2 linked regions of the Macaca fascicularis genome follow. The protein of the gene in region 2 interacts with the protein of the main gene of each other region in a pairwise test. Links are inferred from orthologs where the notes say so. Each region holds a gene or a part of one and is shown on either strand. Other genes may lie near its edges.

What was found.
Region 1: the proteins of MAP2K3 (region 2) and PDGFRA come close enough for resonance energy transfer, tested with the Homo sapiens proteins (2 studies listed by BioGRID). The link is inferred for Macaca fascicularis from reciprocal best matches to the Homo sapiens genes MAP2K3 and PDGFRA.

Annotation. Positions count from the first base shown.
Region 1 is NC_088379.1:79,627,485-79,639,511, reverse strand, and holds part of PDGFRA (platelet-derived growth factor receptor alpha), read left to right. Parts: intron 1-2,032; coding exon 2,033-2,350; intron 2,351-4,653; coding exon 4,654-4,914; intron 4,915-5,930; coding exon 5,931-6,061; intron 6,062-8,306; coding exon 8,307-8,478; intron 8,479-8,569; coding exon 8,570-8,759; intron 8,760-11,614; coding exon 11,615-11,730; intron 11,731-12,027. UniProt on the Homo sapiens protein: Tyrosine-protein kinase that acts as a cell-surface receptor for PDGFA, PDGFB and PDGFC and plays an essential role in the regulation of embryonic development, cell proliferation, survival and chemotaxis.
Region 2 is NC_088390.1:20,723,106-20,735,132, reverse strand, and holds part of MAP2K3 (dual specificity mitogen-activated protein kinase kinase 3), read right to left. Parts: intron 9,504-12,027; exon of another isoform or gene 9,379-9,503; intron 7,168-9,378; coding exon 7,101-7,167; intron 6,704-7,100; coding exon 6,655-6,703; intron 5,026-6,654; coding exon 4,912-5,025; intron 4,697-4,911; coding exon 4,577-4,696; intron 3,396-4,576; coding exon 3,279-3,395; intron 2,356-3,278; coding exon 2,304-2,355; intron 1,104-2,303; coding exon 976-1,103; intron 479-975; coding exon 401-478; intron 1-400. UniProt on the Homo sapiens protein: Dual specificity kinase. Is activated by cytokines and environmental stress in vivo. Catalyzes the concomitant phosphorylation of a threonine and a tyrosine residue in the MAP kinase p38.

The sequences.
Region 1 (12,027 bases), on a different chromosome or scaffold from region 2:
CATTGAAATGTTGTTAGTAATAATGTCTAAATTTACTTACTCTTCCTTTTCCTAGGACAAGTCTTCTATTAGAGCTAGATTAGATAAATTCAGGAATGGTCAACTGTGGGAGGTAGCACATCTGTTGTCCCAGCTCCTTGAGCAGCCGAGGTGGGAGGATCCCTTAAGGCAAGGAGTTCCAGGTTGCAGTGCACTGTGATTATGCCTGTGACTAGCTACCACACTCCAGCCTGGGCACCATAGCAAGACCTCATTTAAAAAAATGTTTAAAGAAAATAAATAATAGAAAATTCTTGCCCAAGAAATCATACCTGTCTTAAATCATAACTCTCCTGATGAAAGATGCTTACATTGCTTCCAAATCTCAGAGTCACCTTTATCTTCTCTAGGAATCAAATTGATAGATAAATGTTTGGTTCTTGGAAAATCTTAAAAACTTTCCCACCAAAAGGATGCCATTGGGGTAATTTGTTGATGTACTGGACTTTCTTAGTTTTCCTCCAGATATTTATGCACTGCAGATGTTTGCCATGGAACCAGTGCTCTTCTATTCTGAGGAGTTAGCTCAGCCCGTTAGTGTCTTTGTCTTACTCATTTGGATATGGTAGAATTGAGCAAGACCAGAGATTTAACAGATGTAAGCTCCACTAAGTATACCCCATCTACAGAGTAACAGGTGATCCAGATGTGCTTACAAATCCTACCTTAACAAGTTTCAGGAATTATGGTGGTCATATATTGAAGTTGGGTGGGAGTCTCACATCAGGCTCCAAGGGAGATTACAAATCATTAATTAATAATTAAGTCAAAATATCTCTTCTATCTGTCTTGGGTTTCTTGTTTTCTAAGTTCTGTGCTCCATGGGTTTATTATCTGTACTCTGCATACACAGTCCAAAAGAGTGAAAAGAAGTAGAAAACTGCAGGACGTTATCCAGAATGACCGCAAACCTTCAATTCCTTTGCTATATCACATTTACTCTATTTCAAAAGGAGTAAGTTCAGTTTCAGTCTAAATAAGCGAGACTGAAATTTGAGGTTCAAAGATGAACTGAGAGTTTTCACTCGGGTTTTACTTACTAATTGTGAATTAAAATCCATATCATCTGGCACCACTGCACTCCAGCCTGGGTGACAGAGCAAGACTCCATCTCATAAAAACAAATAAATATATAAACAAATAAATAAATCCACATCATCCTGCTTTGGCCCTGGAAGTCATGAGGGAGAGACAGCATGCCCAAGGGCTATAAGAAATGGAAAATGTGGAATTCTTGAGCACAGATGTGCTTTGTGTTTTGTTCAGTCCATATCCTTGCCTCTGTTCTCATTCCATGTATTTTGTTTTGTTTTGTTTTGTTTTTTTGAGACAAGGTCTCTCGCTCTATTGCCCAGGCTGGAGTGCAGAGGCTCATTGCAGCCTCAATCTCCTGGGCTCCAGTGATCCTCTTACCTCAGCCTCTGGAGTAGCTGGGACTACAGGTGTTCACCAGCACACCTGGCTAATTTTTTTATTTTTTATTTTTTGTGGAGACCAGGTCTCACTATGTTGCCCAGGCTGGTCTCAAACTCCTGAACTCAAGCGATCCTCCCACTTCCACCTCCCAAAGTGCAGGGATTACAGACATGAGCTGCTGCGCCCCAGCCTCATCTCATTTTAACTAAGGGAAACCTCCGCAGTGACTGTGAACCATAAAGAACCCATATGTGCCTGAGCCTGTGCCATCTTGGGATATTTTATGGTTACACATAAGAGTCTGAAATATGGAATTGGAATCAGACATCCTCTGTCCATTTGAGTGTTTGGAGGAGTGAATCTAGTGGGGCTTGGTAGAGCTATCTGGAACATTTGCTGCTCTCAGCAGATGCAGTAGCTGTTATAATGGGGGACCTTTCATGGGCATCCAGGCTAACGGATTTTTGTGTAGAAATGGTCATTGTTCATCTAAGCTGCTACTGTTGCTTCTCTCAGTTCTCGGGATGAGACCGTCCTTTCTGGTTGCATCCTATTCAGAGCGTGTTTCCTTTTGCAGGGCTGAGCCTAATCCTCTGCCAGCTTTCGTTACCCTCTATCCTTCCAAATGAAAATGAAAAGGTTGTGCAGCTGAATTCATCCTTTTCTCTGAGATGCTTTGGGGAGAGTGAAGTGAGCTGGCAGTACCCCATGTCTGAAGAAGAGAACTCTGATGTGGAAATCAGAAATGAAGAAAACAACAGTGGCCTTTTTGTGACAGTCTTGGAAGTGAGCAGTGCCTCGGCGGCCCACACAGGGCTGTACACTTGCTATTACAACCACACTCAGACAGAAGAGAATGAGCTTGAAGGCAGGCACATTTACATCTATGTGCCAGGTGAGTGGGATGGGTCCCCAGGACCGAGCTTCTTCTCTTCCTGTCTTTCCTGTTAAATGTACTAAGGTTTTAAACATATATATAAATAATTAATATTTATTGCAGGAAGTTTGAAAGATGTAAGCGAACACACAGAAATAAAAATCATTTGTAATATTATCAAGAAATATTCATTGTTAGCATTTCAGAGCTGTATTAAGTTTGGAAAGTCATCTTTGTTATGACATGTCCTGTATTGGTACTGTATAAACAATCTGAAATATACTCATCTCTATTCAGTTCATTCAAGTTGCACACATACTCACAGTGTGTCCAGCACTGGGCTACGTGTTGAGTATACAAAAATTAATAGGTAAGCCCGGTCTTGGAGTTGCTGATAGTTCATTATAATATCTTCCAAATAAACACTCGATTTTTCAGATTCACTATCAATATACATTTATTCTGAGAGTTGGAAGGTATTTTCTTTTTCCTTTTAAAAAGTTATATATATATATATATATATATTTTGAAACAGGGTCTCACTCTGTTGCCCAGGCTGGAATGCAGTGGCATGATCATGGCTTACTGCAACCTCAACTCCCCTGGTTCAAGCGATCCTCCCACTTCAGCCTCCCAAGTAGCTGGGATTACAGGCATGCACCACCACGCCTGGCTAATTTTTATATTTAAAAAATTTTTGTGTGTGTGTATTTTCATTTGAGACAGGGGTTTCACCATATTGACCAGGCTGGTCTTGAACTCCTGACCTTAAGTAATCTATCTGCTTCGGCCTCCCAAAATGCTGGGATTACAGGCGTGAGCCACTATGCCGAAATTTTTGTATTTTTTTTGTAGAGATAGGGTTTCACTGTGTGGCCCAGGCTGGTCTCGAACTCCTGGGCTCAAGTGAGCCCCACCCACCTCAGCCTTCCAAAGTTCTGGGGTTACGGGCGTGAGCCACTGGGCCCGGCCTACTCCTACATTTTAATTAAAAGGACAAAGGATTGAACACAAGTGGTGGCAATTTCAGTATGCAGTTGGGTAAATTAAAAAGGACTGTGGCTAGAATCCTTGGTTTTAGAACAAAACAGAAACCGCTTAGGATTCTTGCCATCCTTGCCGTTTTGGCATAGGTCGAGGAAGGGGGTTCTCACAGAAGTGTGTCTTCCTACCTTTCTGCCTTTTCTTTTTCAGTTTTTAATGGGCTCCTCTTCCTACCCTCTGTAACTATGGGTGTCCCCAGGGACCTAGACCCTCTTTACTTCTTTCATGATACTCTTATTCATATGAGCCTTCCTTCTTAACAATTAAGGAAAAAATAAACAACTTTGTTTTGAAAAGGTAAGACATTTAGAATGTCACCCCAACTTCATTCACACTTAGATTCCTTCAGGAAAATCCTCTAGGTGTGGAGGGATTTTCCCCTGCTGTGAAGAGAATGGTAGGATCGTGAATATGTTAAAGGCACACAAGTCCCTGGTTTTAATCCGTGTAAGATTGTCCAAAAATTCTTCTTGTTCCCTATCTTTTTCCAGCACAGACGCCATCCAAGTAGCCCCTGCATCGCTGTCTGACAGAGATCTTTTGATTTCACAATAATGGAGATTTAGGGGCCTTTTCTGCAGCTGATGTTTGAGACTCTTAGAACTTCTTACCACCGTAGCTTAAGTAGCTGTTTTTCTTTTGGAAAGGAAATTCTCAGGCTCCTTCTCCTTCTCCTTCTTTAAATTTTATGTATTTCTCAAAGGATTACTTTTTAACAAACACATTTCTGTGCTACTTTTCAATCGTACTGACTACAGGTGATAAGAGTTTTTTGAAAGTATTTCATAATAAAACTAGAAATATTTTTTCCTGTTTTGAACAGAGTTGGACTCTATTAAATATTTTATTGTTCATTTTTGTTTTTAGTTGTTTAAATTTTGATTTAGATTCCTGGTTAGTATTTATTTATTTATTTGTAGAGACAGGGTCTCTCTATGTTGCCCAGCCTGGTCTCAAACTCCTGAACACAAGCAACCCTCCCACCTTGGCTTCCCAAAGTGCTGGGATTAAAGGCATGAGCCACAACTCTTATCCATTATTAATATTTATCATCAGTATTATCCATCAGGAGACAAGCAATTTGACATTATTCACACTTAAAAATCACTTTGTAGCTGTCATGATAACTAATGCCAGTGGGGCAATTCTTCTGGATATATGTGTAAAGGTGAACTTCATACCTAATATCAATACTGCCAGTGGGATAGTGTTTCTGGATTTATGTGTAAAGGTGAAATTAATGTCTAATGGAGTCTTCATTCTTTTTTAAACCACAGACCCAGATGTAGCCTTTGTACCTCTAGGAATGACGGATTATTTAGTCATCGTGGAGGACGATGATTCTGCCATCATACCTTGTCGCACAACTGATCCTGAGACTCCTGTAACTTTACACAACAGTGAGGGGGTGGTACCTGCCTCCTACAACAGCAGACAGGGCTTTAATGGGACCTTCACTGTAGGGCCCTATATCTGTGAGGCCACCGTCAAAGGAAAGAAGTTCCAGACCATCCCATTTAACGTTTATGCTTTAAAAGGTACTCATATCATCTCCTTCCTTCTTTAAATAAGAGTAACAGGCATAATCATCAGGTGCATGTATGATTTTTTTTTAAAATCATCACCACTGGTGATCCTAAATTCTGATTTGGGGATTTAGGACCCCAGCTAATACAGTGTCAAGGTGACCTCTATGGCTATAATAATAAGCTTAAAATTACTAAAGGCTAAAGCTTGATTACTCATGCAAGATTTCATGTTTCATCAGTTGACTTCAAAATACTGTAAGGAATTCTTTTCTTATATAAGCCTCTTACTTTCATTCACATTCCTGACTACGGAGGCCCTAAAACAAGCATACACCTCGGGGGTTAGATTCCTAGATTAATTTAGTAACTTAAGGAAAATGATTTCAATTCTGAAGAAAGTAGTTGTAGACTTCAACCCTTTGATGTCCACAGTTAGTACGCTTGGGGAAGTATAATACATGCTGAGGTCAACAGATATTTCCTGACCACTATTCTATGTGGAGGAATGGGTAGCAGCAAGAGTACACTGTTTGAAAATCAGAGCACAGCTAATTTTGTGCCAGGCACTGTGCTGGGTTCTGGGAAAGTACTGAGAATAACTGAGGAGCAGAGTGGAAGAGAAGAAGAGAAGAAAAAATTGGATAGAAACAAAGTGTCTAGAGCAGTGTGGATCATCAAAGGTTGGTTGATTAAATGAATAAGTATGTCAGTCAAGGTGATGGTAGACGAGTATAACCATAACTAACGCACTGCTGAGGAATGCAGTGATTGGAATTTATTTTTATTGTTATTATTTTATAATTCTGTATTATAACTATACACCTAATTGTTGTACACCATCTCAAAATCAAGCCTTGTGAGATTTTCTAAATTTTATCTTGATCAGGGCTTTTATTCATAATTGGTTCACAAATTATTTTTCAGGGTTTTCTTAAAAAAACAAAAAACAACACCACCACCCAAACTTTATAAGATCCTTACTATCCTATGGATTTTTAGGCCCTTGTATTTGTTCTTTTTTATAGCAACATCAGAGCTGGATCTAGAAATGGAAGCTCTTAAAACCGTGTATAAGTCAGGGGAAACGATTGTGGTCACCTGTGCTGTTTTTAACAATGAGGTGGTTGACCTTCAGTGGACTTACCCTGGAGAAGTGGTAGGTACCCTCAAAATGTGCAATGGCTTGGAGCAGAGCAGCAGGGCTCAGAAGACCTGCATTTGTGCTGGGTCTGTCACTGATGGGCACATCACTGAGTTTCTCTAGACCTTAGCTTCCCACCTCTATGATGAACACATTTGATTAAAAAGCCTTTAGGGCTCCTTGATCAATGGGCGAGTTTGAAACGACAGTTGCTGGACCAGGGCCTTCAGAATACATAAAGAGTGTGCACTAAGCCTTCTTTCTCAGAAGTCAGACAGAAATAGGAAGGTTCTCTGGCTACAAAATATCAACCAAAAAATTAGAAGAGCAAAAAAACCGCTGGATTTTACTATTGCGGAGAGTCATTAATTGTCATTGTCTTGGCTTCTGTGCTTCTGACGGTTGATTCATTTGATAGTGTTTATTGCCTGCACTCCTTCCTGTTCTGCCTTGTTGACACTGAGGACAGTGTGTCTTCCTGTTCCACCTCCTATGTGCCTGACCTTTGCATGGCTCACGTTCAGTGAACAGTCACTATGTAATCATTCAACAAAGGTTTAATGATGTTTTACTCAATCTCAAGCACCGTACCAGAAGCTGGTCCAATATTGCCGGATGAAGGGAGGAGGGGAGATGGAAGTGGGGAAAGGGAGCCACCATGCTGCCTCTTGGTCACTGGAGATTTACACAGAGTCTCAGTCATTCGAATGCATTGTCACTAAGTAAGAGAGGCATGTGTAAGAGGCTATGAATGCCCAAATGCAGGAATGACTAACATTCTTATGGAGAACAAAAACCAGATATATATATTTCTTCCCTCTTCTCCTGACTTGTAAATTTCTGCTCCCTGTTCTTTTAGGCATTTGACAGCTTTCTGTCCTTCTATCCATTGATCTCCCTCCTTATATACATTTCTCTCTCCCATGCATTTGCCACTGCTTTTCATTCGTCCTGGAGCATCTGATTGGAAGGTGGGCATTTTCACTATTGCCTCATAAACTTCACATGGTAAAGGGACATTTACAGTCCAACAAATGTACATCTTCCCTGAAATATGGAGTGATTTGGTTCTTCTGTTCACACTTGATTGCCATTAATCCCTAACACATAAACACTGCTTTTTATTTATAGGATACAGTATTTTTTTCCCAAACCAAAGTACATGCTATTTGGCTTACAAATATATAATCAAAGTATTGTTTCATACAATATGTTTTTTTCTGATTGTAAAAGTAATGCAGGTTTAATGCAGATACTTTGTAAAATACAGAGAGACAAAGGAAAGGCTACTTCCCAGAGCATCGCTGTTTATATTTTAGGGAGATAAAACTTTTATTTTTTATTTGTCTTTCTTTCGGTTTTTTTTTTTCTTCTTCTTCTTCTTTTTTTTTTTTGTAGAGATGAAGGTCTCACTACATTGCCCAGGCTGGTCTCGAATTCCTGGACTTAAGTGATCCTCCTACCTTGGCCTTTCAAAGTGTTGGGATTACACATGTGAGCCTCTGAGATTGACTGAGATAAAGTTTTTAAATATTTCTTATCCATAGATAAACATTGAATAATTAATAGGTGTTATTCTTTAAACAGTAGTTTGTTACATTCTTTATCCTTCAGCAGTATAGCACAAACACCTTATATGTGTCATTAACTATCCTTTTAAAAAATTGGCTGGGTGTGGTAGCTCATGCCTGTAATCCCAATACTTTGGGAGGCCGAGGCAGGAGGGTCACTTGAGGCCAGGAGTTTGAGATCAGCCTGGGCAATGTATCGAGACTCTGTCTTTACAAAAATGTTTTAAAAATTAGCCAGGCGTGGTGGCATGAGCCTGTAGCCTCAGCTACTCTGGAGACCAAGGTAGGAGGATCGCTTGAGCTCAGGAGGTTGAGGCTTCAGTGAGCCATGATTGTGCCACTGCACTCCAGCCTGGGCAGCAGAGCGAGATTCTGTCTCTAGAAAAATTAAAAACAAAATAAAAAATCTCATGATTTTCTAAGCAGCTAGCTTTTTTTCTTTAGGTTTTATCTTTTAGAGCAGTTTTAGGTTTACAGCAAAATTGAGTGAGAGGTACAGAGATTTCCCACGTGTTTCCTGCTCCCACACATGCATAGCCTCCCCGCTTGTCAACATCCCTGCCATCCATTTGCTACAACTGATAAACCTCCATTGACACATCATATCACCCAGAGTCCATAGTCTACCTTAGAGTTCACTCCTAGGAGCGAGCTTTTTAAAAGTCGGTTTTCTTCCCCTTTTGCTGTAGAAAGGCAAAGGCATCACAATGCTGGAAGAAATCAAAGTCCCATCCATCAAATTGGTGTATACTTTGACGGTCCCCGAGGCCACGGTGAAAGACAGTGGAGATTACGAATGTGCTGCCCGCCAGGCTACCAGGGAGGTCAAAGAAATGAAGAGAGTCACTATTTCTGTCCATGGTACATTCCGCTTTCTAAAATGTCAGTCGTCCATGCTGCTCGGGATCCATATGTGGTAATCTTTATTTAATGGAAACTCTTCCCTGTACAGAGAAAGGGTTCATTGAAATCAAACCCACCTTTAGCCAGTTGGAAGCTGTCAACCTGCATGAAGTCAAACATTTTGTCGTAGAGGTGCAGGCCTACCCACCTCCCAGGATATCCTGGCTGAAAAACAATCTGACTCTGATTGAAAACCTCACGGAGATCACCACTGATGTGGAAAAGATTCAGGAAATAAGGTAAAGAAACACTCTGCCCAAGTATGCCTTTTTTTAGTGTGCATCAGAGGTGGACTGAGGTTTGTGTGTGTCTTACAACCCAGACCCAAAGTCATTCTAGAAAATGTAGCAATCTGAGTTCAGAGATGCTTGAAATCACATCCCTTTAATGATAACATTGCAATATGGTATTCGTATGCTGGTAAGTATTTAATGAGAAGATGAGAAGAAAGAACTAAAAGCTCTGGCTCCTGGGGAAAGACAGGTCACTGTATTCAGCTAGGGTGGAAGAAAGGAAGTAAAATCGGACTCACCAGGATTGAATAGATTGAATACATTCCCTGATGTTCATCATCCATATTGCAAGTAGACATGTATGGTGATTACACCCATGAGGTAGTTATCACATCACCTTACGTGAAAGTTAACATCGTAGGCTTAATCTGGAACCCATTTGCCCTAACTGAGGACTCCACAGGAAAGAAGAGTAGAGCCTGGCTGACTTTAGTAAGGAAAGAGATGTGCAGTGAATCACTTGGATCCCTGCCTTTTAATCAGAATGGTCGATTGCTCTCATCTCTTAACTGGTGGTGGTGTTTTGAGTGAGTCACCCTCAGCCACAGTTTCCTGATCTACAATGTAGGGTAAACAATACCTTATGTCCTTCGAGGCAAGGAATTGGATCAGATGATATCATGGGGCTTCTTGAGGTTTTAAGCTGTGATTAGAATCCAAGAGTCAGAAGGTACATCCTGCAGCACCCAGCTAACCAGCCCTATACTTTTGTCAGAAATCATCTCAGAAAGACAAAGTCAGTCCTCTATTTCAAGCCTTCAGGAGGAGGAAGAACAGAGCCTTTCTCATCAGTTCAGTTCACCTCATGATTTGCTTTCTTCTTTCTGAACTAAATTCCACGTGTAATTGAGAAGCAGTCTGAGAAAATGGAATTTTACAATCTCTATAGAATAGTAAAGGAAAAATGAAGTGGGGTACTGAATCTGGTAGGCTTTCTGTTGACACAAAATGAAGGTGCACAACAAGGAGGGCAGCTTTCCATAAGGAACTTCCATGAGGCTGTGCAGCCAGAGAGGAGTAGGGTAACACTGGTACAGCTAACACCTCCAACACATGTGTGAGCATTGTCTGCAAGCCATAATCCACAGCAATGGCAGGACAGGCTTGCCAACTGAGTGGTTCTGGAAAGCTGTGTTTTCCTTTCAGTGATTCAAGGATCCTTCGGTGTGTATTTTTTAGTTCCTATTATGAACCAGTGAATATAAAGATGAACATGGTAGGTGGGGGATCTGGCTTCCTGGAGCTTAAAACTAGTGGACCCACTGGTTTTCTTGGCTGAAGAAGTGTAGACAACAAACAGCAGAGGATAATTTGGTAATCAGCATCCCAGTGTGCCCTAGGGGACTCTCTAAGGAAATCCAGTCCTGGAGCACGCCCAGTATGGTTCAGCCTGCTCTCTTCATAGGTCTGAGTGCCCCAGCATTTGCAAAGTGTTTTGCAGCCTATGAAATCCTTTCACACATACAATCTCCTTTAATTAACTCTCACAACGACTCTGTGCTATGTGTACAATTATCACGTTTTACACACAAGGAAACTGAGGCATGGAGAATTGTAATAATGCCTGAGATCTTCTCACTCCGTGACCAGTGCTTTTCTTTTCCATTCCAGTTGCTTTTTCACACTGTGATGATTTATAAAGGACAATCCAATGGGCACATACTATGTTTATGCACACGCATGCACGAGCACACACACACACACACACACAAAACCAGATGTCATTTATAATCCATGTAAAATATTTTTGGGGAAGCTTCTCTTTAATAAAATTTGAAGAGGCATATTTTTTCTAACTTTTTTTTTTTTTTTTTGAGATGGAGTCTTGCAAGCTCTGTCACCCAGGCTGGAGAGTGCAGTGGTACGATCATAGCTCACTGCAACCTCTGCCTCCTGGGTTCAAGCAATTCTTTAGCCTCAGCCTCCTGAGTAGCTGGGATTACAGGTGTGTGCCACCATGCCTGGCTAATTTTTTTTTTTTTGTATTTTTAGTAGAGATAGGGGTTTCACCATGTTGGTCAGGCTGGTCTTGAACTCCTGACCTCAAGTGATCCACCCGCCTTGGCCTCCCAAAGTGCTGGGATTACAATGTGAGTCATCACACCCAGCCTATAACTTTTTTTTTTAATGGGTGATAGAATCCCATGCTTGAAAAATAATCAAACATAAAGAGAGTGCATTGTAAGAAGCCTTACTGTACTCCTGTCCCCAACTGCCCAATTCTCCCCTCCTTCCCACAGGGAAACACCTTTATTAGTTTAATTAGGTTCTTAGGAAACCTTCCAGAGTTTCTTTAAGCAAAATACAAGCAAGTAGGAGTGTCATATCCTGTGGACCTCTCCATACCAATATGTAGAAAGTGTCCTTATTCTGTCCTCCAATGGTATTCCATTGTTTTACTGAACCACCTAAATGATGGATATTTAGGGGAAGCAAATATTTTTTTAAAAAGGTAAAAATCAAAGGGTTTGTTTTGTTTTGTTTTGTTTTTTTAAAGAAAAGCTGGTAGGCTGTGTTTATTCTTTCAGAAGTCAGACCCTGGCTGAACTGATAGCTCTTGGAGATGACCACTGCTCATCTCTGAATGTCTGATTTTCTCTTGTAAGAATTGTGTGTATGATCCAGACCTTCAGTACGTGCACTGAATATTGAGAATTCCAGAAGAGATGATATGGACAAGGAAAAAAAGATGACTTTAGTTTTTACAGTAAAAATAAAACTTAAATTGAATAGTACAATTGCTTAAACAATTGGAACTTACTTAGCTACTGCTTGTTGAAACAAAATCCTTTTTTTAAAAGGTATCGAAGCAAATTAAAGCTTATCCGTGCTAAGGAAGAAGACAGTGGCCATTATACTATTGTAGCTCAAAATGAAGATGATGTGAAGAGCTATACTTTTGAACTGTTAACTCAAGGTATGTAAAGGGAGTATAAAGATAATGCTAGCTCTGTAGATGAGTGTCTTCCAAGGAAAGCCTAGCACCTTCCTCCTGGGTCATGGAAGAAAAGCAACACTTAGGGGAGAAGCAGTGTCTGCAGATGTCACATATTAGGGATACCTCTGCTGACTTAGGAATTCAGGTATTTCTTGGAGGTTCTGGGTTACTCTAGAGTTGGCGGGGAATCCCTAGGCTCCACTAGCTTTCTTTATTTTTGTAGAGATGGGCTCTTGCCATGTTGCCCAGGCTGGTCTCCTGAGTTCAAGCTGTCTT
Region 2 (12,027 bases):
CACAGCAAGGTACCAGCACGCCACTGGCAACAAACCTTCTGCTATGAAATATTTCTGAAAAGATCTTCACCATCTTGCTTTTGCACGATTTACATACCAGGAACTCACATAATTTGGGATTGGCTGTGATTTCTCAGCAAGCACCAAGAACTCCAGAGAAAGCCCTGTGACCACCACATCACAAAGCGCCCAGGACTTCATGATGAGTGACCCTGACCCTAGGACGTTCCCCTAAATCGATGGTAATTTCTGATGGCATGTTTTCTTCTCAGATTTTGAAGCGAATACTTCTTTCCAGAGCCTAAACTATTTGAGGAGTCTCCCAAAAGCTCAGGGCCCCAGGCACAGCTCCACCCACCCCACCTGACCACCAAGGGCAGGCCCTGGCCCCACACAGTACCATGGTAATGCCCAGGCTCCAGACGTCGGACTTGACATTGTAGCCCTTCTGGTTCAGCTCCGGGTTGATCCTCTCAGGCTGCAGGAGGGAACAGTGAGGCGTGAACACCCGCCCCAGGTAAGCTCCGATGGCTAGGCCTTGCCTCCCAATCCCCAAACTGAGCGCTCAGCTTAGCCCACCTGCCCATGTGACCGGGGAGAAAACTGAGGCTAGGAGGGCCTGGGTCATGCTTAGAAGGCCCAAACCTTGCCTCGGGCTGCCCCTACCTGGGAGCAGACCCCTAAGGCCCTCCTGACAATGAGGGCGGGGCAGGACCGGCACAGCCCACCACGGTCCTCCGGGGAGGTTGTTCATGCAGCTTATCACCTAACTGGGGCGCTGTGGGGGTCAGTTAACAACAGGGTACAGAAGGGCTGCCCCTGGGCAGCCAGACACAGGTGGCCCCACTATGGTAGGAAACGCAGTGTGGGGAGGCTCTGCCCGACGGGTAGAGGGCATGGCCGGGGTGGCTGATTTGGGCAGATCTCTCCCCGCCCCATCCTCTCCTGAGCCTGGGGGGCTTGGGGACCACTCACGGCCATGTAGGGCTTGCAGCCGGCATCCATCGTCTTGGCCACAGAGTCCACCAAGTAACCACTGATGCCGAAGTCACACATCTTCACATGGCCCTCCTTGTTGATAAGGACATTGGAGGGCTTCACATCTGCCAGGAAAGGACATGCCTCAGCCACGTCTGTGGAGCATGACTGGAGGCAGGTGCCATGCTCTGCATAGCTGTGTCCCCCTCCCTCGCCCCAGACCCCTCCTGTGCCCCCTCCCATGCCCCAGTGGGCAGGTTCCACCAGGGTCCCAAGGGTCGGACCAGGGAACTGAGGCTGCAAGAGGTGTCGGGCTAGCTGACGGTCATACATGGTCCTCAGGGAATAGCCAGGACGTGCCCAGCCCAGCCAAGCCACTGCAAAGAAGGCAGGACTCCAGGTGCTTTGCTGGGGGCGCCGCGCCTGCATCCGCCCTCCAGACGTGAGGTGCAGTGAGAGCCTGGCTTGTGTGGGTGCTCCCAGAGGGCAGCAGGATCAATTAAAGCCTGGGAGGCAGGATCTGTGTGTTTGGACATGGAGTCCCCACAGACCAGCATGGGAGACCAGCCTAGCAGGGATTCTCCATGCAAATGCGCACAGGACACTCGCATCCGCGTGCCCTCCATGGGGATGTGTGTAAAGATGGAAATGCACATAAAAAGGACCAGAAGGTTCCGTGCCAAACGCCAACCACAGTGACCTGGAGGTGGAGGCTGGGATGGGCACCCAGTGGTCAATGGGAACTAAGCCTAATTCATTTTTTGAAAAGCCGTAAATCTGGAAAAATAGACTTGGGCTCAGCAGCAAAAAGGAACAAACCGACACCACACCAGACCCGGATGGGTCCAGAAACATCAAGCTAGTGAGGCTGATGTTCCAGAAAGGGCGAAACCAACCCACCATGGGAAAACCAGACTTGTGGCTGCCTTAGGCACATGAGGGATGGCAGAGAAGGGGCCCAAGAGAACATTTTGGGCTGGGGTAAGGGAATTATCCTGCATCTTGCAGGGAGGTGGTTGCATGGGTGTGAACGTGATTATACGTACTCTGTGCTGGAATTTCACGATTTGTAAACTATACGTTAGAACAGAACCCGGTCCACCTTTCTCAGGACAAAGGTAAAACTAGTCCTTGCTTCGAACACCAGCAAACATGAGGGGAGGCAGCTGCAGGGCTGCAGGTGGAAAGCGGCTGGGACCCCATTGGGCACGTCACAACTTATCACCTCTCTGAGCCTCAGTTGCTCATAGGGAGACGTCTACCCGCCTTGGCCTGGGATCCCTCCCACTGGCTGCACCGTGCCTGGGTGGCTGCCGGGTACTGACCTCTGTGGATCACCGACAGCTTGCTGTGCAGATGCTCCAGAGCCCGCACGATCTGGCGGTGGGGTGGGGAGGAGGGAAGAGACAGGACTCTGTTATTGCTGGTCATGTCAACAACGACAGCAGTAAGACCCCATCCATGTCCACCTGTCTCCTGCTCCCGCTGCACAGGCTAGGCACCTCCTCACCCCAGCCTCCTGCCCTGTCCTGGCATTTGCCTCAGCATCCTAACAATCCCTGTGTGGACACACTCAGCCTCCTGCCTCCTCTCACCCTCCCAGGCTCACCTCCCAGGGAGCCATCATCATCACTGCCTGCCAGGCTCTTCTTGGGTAAAAGCCAGCTCTTGGCAGCCTTCCTGTCCCATCTTCCCTCCCGTGGCAGAGCCAGTATTCTAGCAGCTTGGAGCCATTTCCCTTGGGAAGGCTGGGTGGGGAGCCTGAGGCAAGCATATATTGTAAACGTTTCCAGATGCAGTGAGGATTGAACCAGTGTCACTAGTTCTATTTTCCTTTTTCCTTTGGCTACTGGGATGCTCAAGCCCAGTGTTGCTGCCCTCCCTCAAGGACTTTTGAGACTCAAAAAGCACACATTTTGGATGCTAACCTTTCCCTCAACTTAGCTTGTACCTCTGTGAGCTGCCCCGGGGCATTTTCAGTATGATGCTGTTGTAAATACTAAATTCCTTTTTTTAAAAAAAATGGTCTGGAACTCAAGAGTTGGAATCAATGGCTCAGACACCTGGATCTGCCAAATCTGTGGGGCTCCAGGAGCCCAAGGAGCTGAGGTCTCCTAAGCGTGAAGGCTCTGGTGTGGGGTGGAGGAGAAGGGCCTATGCAGGGCAGCTGCCCAGGCTCAGGGGGCACACTGATGCCCAGCTCTGCCCAAGACACCAGTATCTGGCAGGCTCCATGCCTGCTGGAAGGGCTGGGCCTCTGCCTATGCACCTGGGACCCCCAGCGCACCCAGGCCACTCACAGACACAGCAATCTCCCCGAGGATGTCCTCTGGAATTGTCATGTTTTTATCCAGCACCTTCCGGTAGAACTTGTCCAGGGATGTGTCCATGAGCTCCATGCAGATCCACACGTCTCCCTGTGGGTGACACCCAGAGCTCAGCCAGGCTGCCGGGCTGCCTGTGTCGGCACCACCTACACTGCCTGCCCCAGCACCAGCCCCAGCCCCCTCCTCAATGTGTGCCCACCCACTCAGCCACAGTTCACCGGGCTCCCACCCACCCCCCACTTGCCCGCTTCTCCCCACCCTCCACTTGCCCACATCTCCCCACCCTCCAGCTCTGCCTGCACTGCCAGGTTCGGGTGCCAGCCTCCTCCATCTAATCCCTAATTCCAGGTGTCTCCAGGGAGGAGGGGGATTAGCACAGAGCCTCACTGGGTCCCTCCACCAGAGCCTCAGGATGCACCCGCACCAGCTCCACGGCAACAGCCGGCCCTGTGGACCGACAGACACCTTCATGCCCGCTGACCCTGGCAGATGGCTCCCTGCCTGCAAGGACCAGCTCCCTCTTCCCCAGTGAACTCCTGAGGACCCTCCTGACAGGAAAGTTAGGAGATGCGCACGGGGCACCCACAGGCTGTAGGGGCCCCATTGGCTAGGAGCTGGCACAGGGGATGCTGAGCTCTTCATGAGTGAAGAGTGAGGCCAGGTGAGGCAGCCCTGACCGTGCCCGATTGCTGGACTCAGATGCCCTGACCTTGCCACAGCTCCTTGAGGGGCAAGCGACCAGTATGAGCCCAGCATCGCCCAGGCTCCCAGGCTCCCTGCTCACCCACACCCACCCGGCTTGGCGGAAGGCAGCTCCACCCTTCCAGCTCAGTCACTCCCTCAGCACACACCCCATGCTGCCCACAAACCTAGAACCCAGATCTCATATCTCCATGGCCACTGCCTGCTCAGGCACCCCACGCCCCGTATGCCATGGGGATGCGAATGGTCACACAGGCAGAACTGAGTGCAGCCGAATGCCAGGCCCCAGGCCATGTCATTTAACTTCCGTGTCAACTTTAGGAGGCACCCACAACCACTAGCCTCATTTGACAGATAAGGAAACCGAGGCACCAAGCAGGACAGTAACAGCCAGGAGGTGGGGGAGCCCGGTGGTCTGGCAGGGCTGGTGCCTCTGGGAGCCGTGCTGGCCCCGGGTGGCTCCCCGTGTCCCCAGCACCTGGCACACTGGAGGGACTGAGTGACAGTGGGTTGCAGGCGACTGATGGGTGGGAGGTGGAGCTCCCCAGCTGTACCACGCGAGGACACACCTCTCTGAACAGTGCCCCGTAGAAGGTGACAGTGTAGAAGCAGTCGACCGTGCGCATGTTGATGTCCAGGTCCATGAGCAGCCGCTTCTGCTCCTGTGAGTTCACAGTGGCCCGGATCCGCTGCAGGGAAGGACTGCCGTTCAGAGGTTGCTGTGGCAGAGGCCAACACCCCCACTCATGACAGGAGGACCAGGAGCTCAGAGGGCCACTGCCTAGTGTGCCCCAAAAAGCCTGGGCTCGGTACTGGTCACTGAGAGGGACAGGCAGGGCCCCATGGCAGGGCTCAGCTCGCCTCCTCCAGGGAGCCCTCCCAGGTGCCTCCAGGCCCTGCTCACCTTCACGGCCATGATGGTGCCGCTCTGGGCGTGCCGCACCTTCTCCACCACCCCATAGGCTCCACGGCCCAGTTCCGAGATGGTCACCAAGTCATCAGCCTCCACCTCAAAGTTCTTGAGGGATGGAAAAGAGAGAGAGTCAGTGGCCACCAAGCTGGAAGCCAGTCCTCACCTCTCACCCAGTGGAGATAGCTAGGCAGCATGAAGAGGACCAGCTGGTTAGATCTGGGCTCAAACCTCATACCCACCACTCCCTGCTGTGTGACCCTCAGCAAGTCACTTAACCTCTCTGAGCCTCACGTTGCCCTCTATAAAATAGGCACAGTGCCAACACCCCAAGGCGGCTCTGGAGTGTGACTAAGACACCCATGAAATGCCCCGCCAGCAGGCAGAGCTCTGAGAAAGAGGGGCCCTGTCCCTCTTTCCCCAACTCCACTCAGCTGGAATGGAATGAGTCAGTCATTCAAAAACTGTTTACCAAGCACCCACAATGTGTTTTAGGCACTGGGGACACAGTGACAACAAAACAAGTCTTGCCTTCACAAATGTGTCCCTCTCTTGGGAGGGACACAAAAAGGAACAAGCAAGTAGATGAACAGGACAGCAGGTGGTGAGTGTCGGGGGTGCGACAGCCTGGAGGGGGCATCGTCAAGGACAGGCCTAGGAAGTGGGGTTTCTTTTATTTGTTTTAGACAGAGTGTCACTCTTGTCACCCAGGCTGGAGTACAATGGGGTGATCTCGGCTCATTGCAACCTCCACCTCCTGGGTTCAAGCGATTCTGTCTCAGCCTCCTGAATAGCTGGGATTACAGGCGCCTGCCACCACACTGGGGTAATTTTTGTATTTTAGTAGAGACAGGGTTTCACCATGTTAGCTAGGCTGGTCTTGAACTCCTGACCTCAGGTGATCTGCCCGCCTCGGCCTCCCAAAGTGCTTGGATTACAGGTGTGAGCCACCGCGCCCAGCTCTTTTTTTTTTTTTTTTGAAACGGGGTCTCACTCTGTCACTCAGGCTGAAGGGTAGTGGCATGATCATGGCTCACTGCAACCTCCACCTCCTGGGCTCAAGCGATCCTCCCACCTCAGCCTCTCAAGTAGCCAGGACCACAGGCATGCACCACCACACTGACCAGTTTTTTGTATTTTTGTACAGACAGGGTTTCGCCATGTTGCCCAGGCCTGGTCCCGAGTTCCCGAGCTCAAGTGATCCTCCTCCTGCCTCAGCCTCCCAAAGTGCTGGGATTATAGGTGTCAGTCACTGCACCTGGCCTGGGAGTAGGGTTTCTGTTGGGAGGACCTGGGCATAACACGGTCCCTGAGACAGGATTCTCAATGGCTAGTGCCCTTCCGAGGCTTCTGGAAGCAGAAAATGCAGGTTTCCTAGGTGCTGGCCTGAGGGAATGATCCAGCAGGTCCAGGGAGGCCTAGGAGCCTGCACGTTCAGTACTCTCCGCTAGGGCTAGGATGAGGTGCAGGGCTGTGCTCTCAGCTCAGAAACCTTCCTACCAGCTCTGAGCTCACCAAGCTCCAGACAGGCAGCCAATGGTCCTCATTCCCTCCAGCAGGGTCAAAGGGTGGGTGGCCCAGGGCCACACAGCCAGCAGCACAGGACAACACTCTTCTCCACAGCCTGACCCTCTCTGACCCCTCAGTCACCTCCCCTCATAGTGACCCTGCAGGGTCAGCTCTACCCACTCGTCAGTTGAAGTGAGAGGCCCTGCAGGGGTGGCGGCTGGCACCTACTCTGTCTCCAATGGTGATGAAGGTCCGGGAGTCCAGGTTCCGGGGGGGTCTGTGGAGAAAGAAGGCTCCATGAGCTTCAGAGAGAACCACACCCTTCCTCCAAGAGCAGCAGCAGATGGGCCAGTGTGGGGCCTGGCGTGGGAACCAGGTATATCCTGCCCCGGAGGCACCTCCTCGGACCACCTCCTCTCATTGGCTGCTGAGCATCTACATGAGCTGGGCACGGCCTCATCGAGCCTCCAAGACGGGGTGAGAAGTGAGCAGAGCAGAGCAGATGGTGCTGCATGAACCCCAGCAGCTGTCACCTAGCTGGACCCACAGCAGGTGCTGCCCAGGACAGGACGAGGCAAAGCAGAGCTGGCCCCACCTGCCTCTCACTCCTTCCACTGAGCCCTGTTCGGGAAGCCTCTCCAGGGTGAGCCAGGGAGAAACTGAGGCAGACTCACGTGGGGTTAGGCGCGGGTGGCTTGGACATGCAGGATATCCGTAGATCCTTCTTCCTCTTGGATTTTCCTAGAATGGAGAGAAGGTGAGGCTTCTGGCCTATCCCTCAGTCATCAATGTCCCCTGCACTCCCCTTGGGCTGGGCAAAGATGGAGACAGGGATGACTCAGGCCCTGGCCCACAAGGATGCCAGCCTCTGCGATCACCCTTGCCGGGAGCCCCCTCTCTCCAAGCCAGACCGTGAGGCGTTCAAAGGGAGGAAGGAGGCCCACCAGCCCTGCAGGGGAAAAGAGCAGGACAGACCCAGGCCTAGAGGCTGGAGCCCAGGGCCTTATCTCAGCCCTGCCCACTGGGCACATCTTGAGTACCTCCCTGGGCCTCAGTTTCCCCATCTGTGAGGTGTCCTCACTGCCCTGCCTGACTAGCCAACGGGACGTGGGGTGAGAGGGGCCCAGCAGGGGTCCAGCCAGCACCCGCAGCAGCCACTGTGCAGGGGCCTCGTGGCCGCAGGTAGCAGGATGAGGCTCACACTACCTCCAAGATGAGGAAGGCCAGGACCCCAGAGAGGGCAACAGGCGGTGGAGCAAGCGGGGACTCCAGCCCAGGCTGCCCTGCAGGCTAGCTCTGCCGGGCCCTGCTCACCCTGGAGGCCAACACCTGATGCCCGTTTCTCTCCCTCCCCTGAAAAGTGCTGGCTCTCTCCCCTCCCCTGCACTGGGCAGGCCACAGTCCTGGGGCAGTACCTTCCTCACTCCACCCCTGGGGGCAGGTGAGAGGTCCCAGTGTCCACACCTCTCAGGCTGGCTGCAGGAGCATGGCCAGGTGCACAGCACTCAGCTGGTACTAACGGAGGGTCAGCATTTCTGGGGCTCCAGGCACAGTGGGGCTGGCATGCAGAGGGAGCTCCCTGTAGTCAGGGCTGCCCTTTGAAGAAGGCATAGCCGCCATTCCACAGGCAGGAGAAGCAAGGATCAGAGATGGCAGGGTCACCGGGCGCTCTGGCACCATCAGGCAGCAGGGCTGGGAGTGACACAGCTCCCCGAGACCACCCAGTACAGACATGCTGGCCACATTCCTGCCCTTGCGGGAGCTTCTGCCCCATTTCCCAAGCATGGTCCTGCCACACCTTGGCCCTCACCCACCACCTCCCACTCACTGCTGCTGGCTCAGCCTGGCTGCTGGCACTGGGGCCTGGAAACTGCCCATGGCCCTGCTGCCACCTGCCAAGAAGACCCCAGTCTCTGAAGCCGCCTCCAAGTCAGGTCCAGATCCAGCCTTGGCCACAGTGCAACGCAGACTTGTGGCCCCATCTGAGAGCCACGCACTGGGGCCCAGCAGCCAACCCGGCCCGGACGGAGGGCAAAGGGTGGTTACCGCCACTAGGAAGACAAGGCCAGATCAACAGGAAACAGAATAGCCTCGGCGGGGACAGGGGTCCCAGGGTCCATCCTGGGGCAGGTGGGCAGAGTGCAGGGGCCAGGCAAGCAGATACCTGCAGCCTTTCCACCAAAGCCGCCCCGGGGACCCTGCTGCCAGGCCCCAGAGGCTTCAGGAAACAAAGGCATCCACAGACAGAGGCAGCAGCGGCAGCTGCCGCCACATGCACTGGGTGCCTGCCTGCTAACCGCTCACCCGGTGAATCAATTGCCTAGTCACTACTCCTGTGTGAGGCTTTTTAACTCATTTTAAGATGCAGCAACACCCTGGCTGTCCGGGACTGCACGGGTCTCACGGCGAGTCTGTCAGAGCCACAGCACTGGCCACAGGCAGGGCCCTTCTCATCTGTGACTCCAGATGCTCCCACAGCCCCACAGGGAGGGGCTCTCAACCTCACTTTACCTGGCGAACAGGCTCAGAGAGGTGAAGCCACTTGCCCCAGGCTGTGCAGCAAGTCAGGGTTCTGGCTACAGTCCCTCCTGAGTTTGTTGACTTGGAGACCCCCACAGGCCAGGCCACGGCTCACAGCACCCCTGCCCCAGGGAGCCCTCCCTGAGGCTGAAGGACAGGTCCAAGTCTCATGCTTAACAAGAAACGGCAACAGAGTCTGGAGACGCAGAGGCTCAGCACACTCTCACAGGAGAAACCATGGCACACAGGGCCAGCAGCTCCCGAGACCACTTCTATCCTGCCTCTGGGCCAAAGGCTCTGAACTTCAGGGGGCTCTGGGCTTGGCATAGGGCAGCCATAGTAAACCCCAGCTCTGCGATCCTGGCGTGGTGCCCTCCTCTGCACCTTGGGTTCCTCATGTACAAAACAGCTCGAGGCAGAAATGCCACCCACCTGCCCCGCACGGTGCTGCAGGACGAAGCAAAACCACGTCTGCAAGGTGCTCAGCACAGGGTTCACTGCGCAGATGGGGACCTGTTGTGGCCCATAAATGGTCACCATGGATATGACCAGCCTCTCTGCAGAGGTGGAAAAAAAAAAAAAAAAAAAAAAACTGCCCTAGGTAATGAGAATTACAGATAGCTTTTATTCCTGATGTCAGGTTTTTTGTGATCAGAATATAAAATATTTTCTGTTAAAAATGAAAGCTCTGCACAGAGACCCTGGGCCTTGACCTTGCCCAGCCCCTTGCAGTCCCATCCTTTTCCTGTGGGGTCCACGCCACACCCTCCCTGCACTTTCTCTGCTCTTGGTCCCTCTGGCCCAGCCTGCCACCCACCTCACGCCCTGGGATTTGGGGATGTTGTATCATGTGCCCCCCTTTCACCAAGCCTCAGTTTCCCCACCTGTCAAGGGCACTTGCACATATGGGCTGGATGGGTGGGGACCACGCTCCTCACAGGCCTGGGGGGTATATGGCCTGGCCTCTGCATCCACCTGCCTGTTGGGGACACCGGACTTGCATCAGGAGGGCCGCAGGCTCCACAGGGAAGCCACCCAGCTGTCAGACGGAGTGGGTGAGGCCGTCATGGAGACAGCCCAGAAACAGGCCTCAGGCTGCCACAGACGTCAGAGCTGGGCCCAGATGGCCAGGCAGCCCAGGGCTGCCCAGGTGCAGCCATTGTGGCGACCGTCACCACAACAAACAGAGGCTCTCGGCGGCCACTGGCAACCCATGACAAGCCCGCCTGTCCCGGTTCCCAGCACGGGGTGTCCTGGGGTGTCCTCCACATACTCTAGCCTCAAAGCAGCCCCCAGGCAGGGATGAGGAAACGGAAACTGACCAGAATTCAGCCACTGACCTGAGGCTACACCACAGGTAAAGAGAGGTGCCCCCAGACTAGGACACAACTCTCACTGGCCGCGGCAGCTCTGCCCTATCTCCTCCCACTCACCCCCCACTAGAGACCCGACCCTTGAGTGAGCCCTTCTCTGAATGAGACACCTGCTTTCCCATCGCAGGGCCTTCGCGCATGCCCTTCCCTCTGCCTGAAATGCTCTTCCCTGCGACCGTCCCAGCTGCCACATGGTCTTGCCTTTCACCAGTTCGGAGAGGCTGCCTGACCGCTCAGGCCCCAGTGACCGGCTCTCCCTGTGGCCTGCTGGTTTCTCTGCTGTGGAGTCCCGTAGGTGGCCGTTCTGTGTTACCATCTCAGCCAGCCAGTCTGCAGATCACCTGCGAACAAACGCTCTGGAGCCAAGGCCTGGGCTCAACTGCAACCCTGCCCCTTCCCTGCTGTGTGCCCTCAGGCAAGTGGCTTCACCTCTCTGGACATATGTGAAGCGGAGACTACAGACCAACCTCCCGGGGTTATCAGCGCCATGCCGTAGCAATGCCTGGTGCGTGGAGATTAGATGGGGCCATCTGGGAGTGCACAGCTCCAGAGATAACACCACCCTCAGCCCCAGACCATCCCTGTCCACCTTCTCAGTGACTCCACGAGGGAGCAGGGGAGGTTCACGTATCTGTTGTACCAAGCATACGGGAGAAGAGGCGACTCAGAGAGGCCACACGGTGGGCATCTGGTGAGGACTGGCCGTAAAGGCAGGTCTGCCCGGCTCCAACATCCAAACAGCAACAGCCTGAGGGCAGGGACCCCACTTCGGCTGCTCCTTCCATCCTGGGCCTGGGGAGACTGAGCTGTGTGGCCCTCTAACGGTCACCCACAGGGGCAAGGTGACAACCCCTCCTCACAGCCTCTGCTCTGCCTCCACTCATAAAGACAGCCCCCACGCCGTGCCACACCACGCCACACCACGCCACGCCACGCCACACCACGCCACGCTACGCCACGCCACGCCACGCCACACCACGCCACGCCACGCCGCGCCACGCCATGCCACGCCACGCCACACCACGCCACGCCACACCACGCCACACCGCGCCACGTGAAGGAGCATCACCAGGTTTCCGACGACAGAAGTAACCCCTGCTCCTAGTTCACTGCCCTCGCCTGACTTCTGGATGTTCCAGGAGGTCCCTGTTCCACTGTAGAAGTGCTGGGCCCGCCAGAGAAGGAGCCACAGGGGCTGGGAGATGTGAACAGCAAGAGGCGCCGCCCTGCCCCAGGCCACCTCTATTCCGCAGGGTCCCTCAGAGGGACAGCAACGAAGCCAGCCCACTCCACGGCACGGGGAAACTGAGGCCCTGAGAAGTGGGCGCAGGCTTTTGCGTGGGCAGATGTACCTCGACAGTGAATGCGTTTGGCTGCGATCTGCCAGACGCTGGCCCCTGTGCCCAGGACAGGTGCCATCAGAGGTCCTGAGGCGCTGCATGCGCCACTGCCAAGCACCTGCAGGCAGTAGGGGGTGGCCATGCACCTTCAGGCAGGGCCCCTTGCCCTGAGGTCCTGGGGCCCCTGTCTCAGGCTCTGGAGAGGATGCAGGACAAGGAGAAGGTCCTCCCATCTACCCAAGCGCCTGCTCCATGCCAGGCCCAGGCTGTCCCATCTGGCCTCACATATGGCCACTGCAGGCCCTACCTTCTCTATCCTCACCTCGTAGGAGTGCAGCAGGCTAGGGTGAGGAGGAGTGACCAAGGCT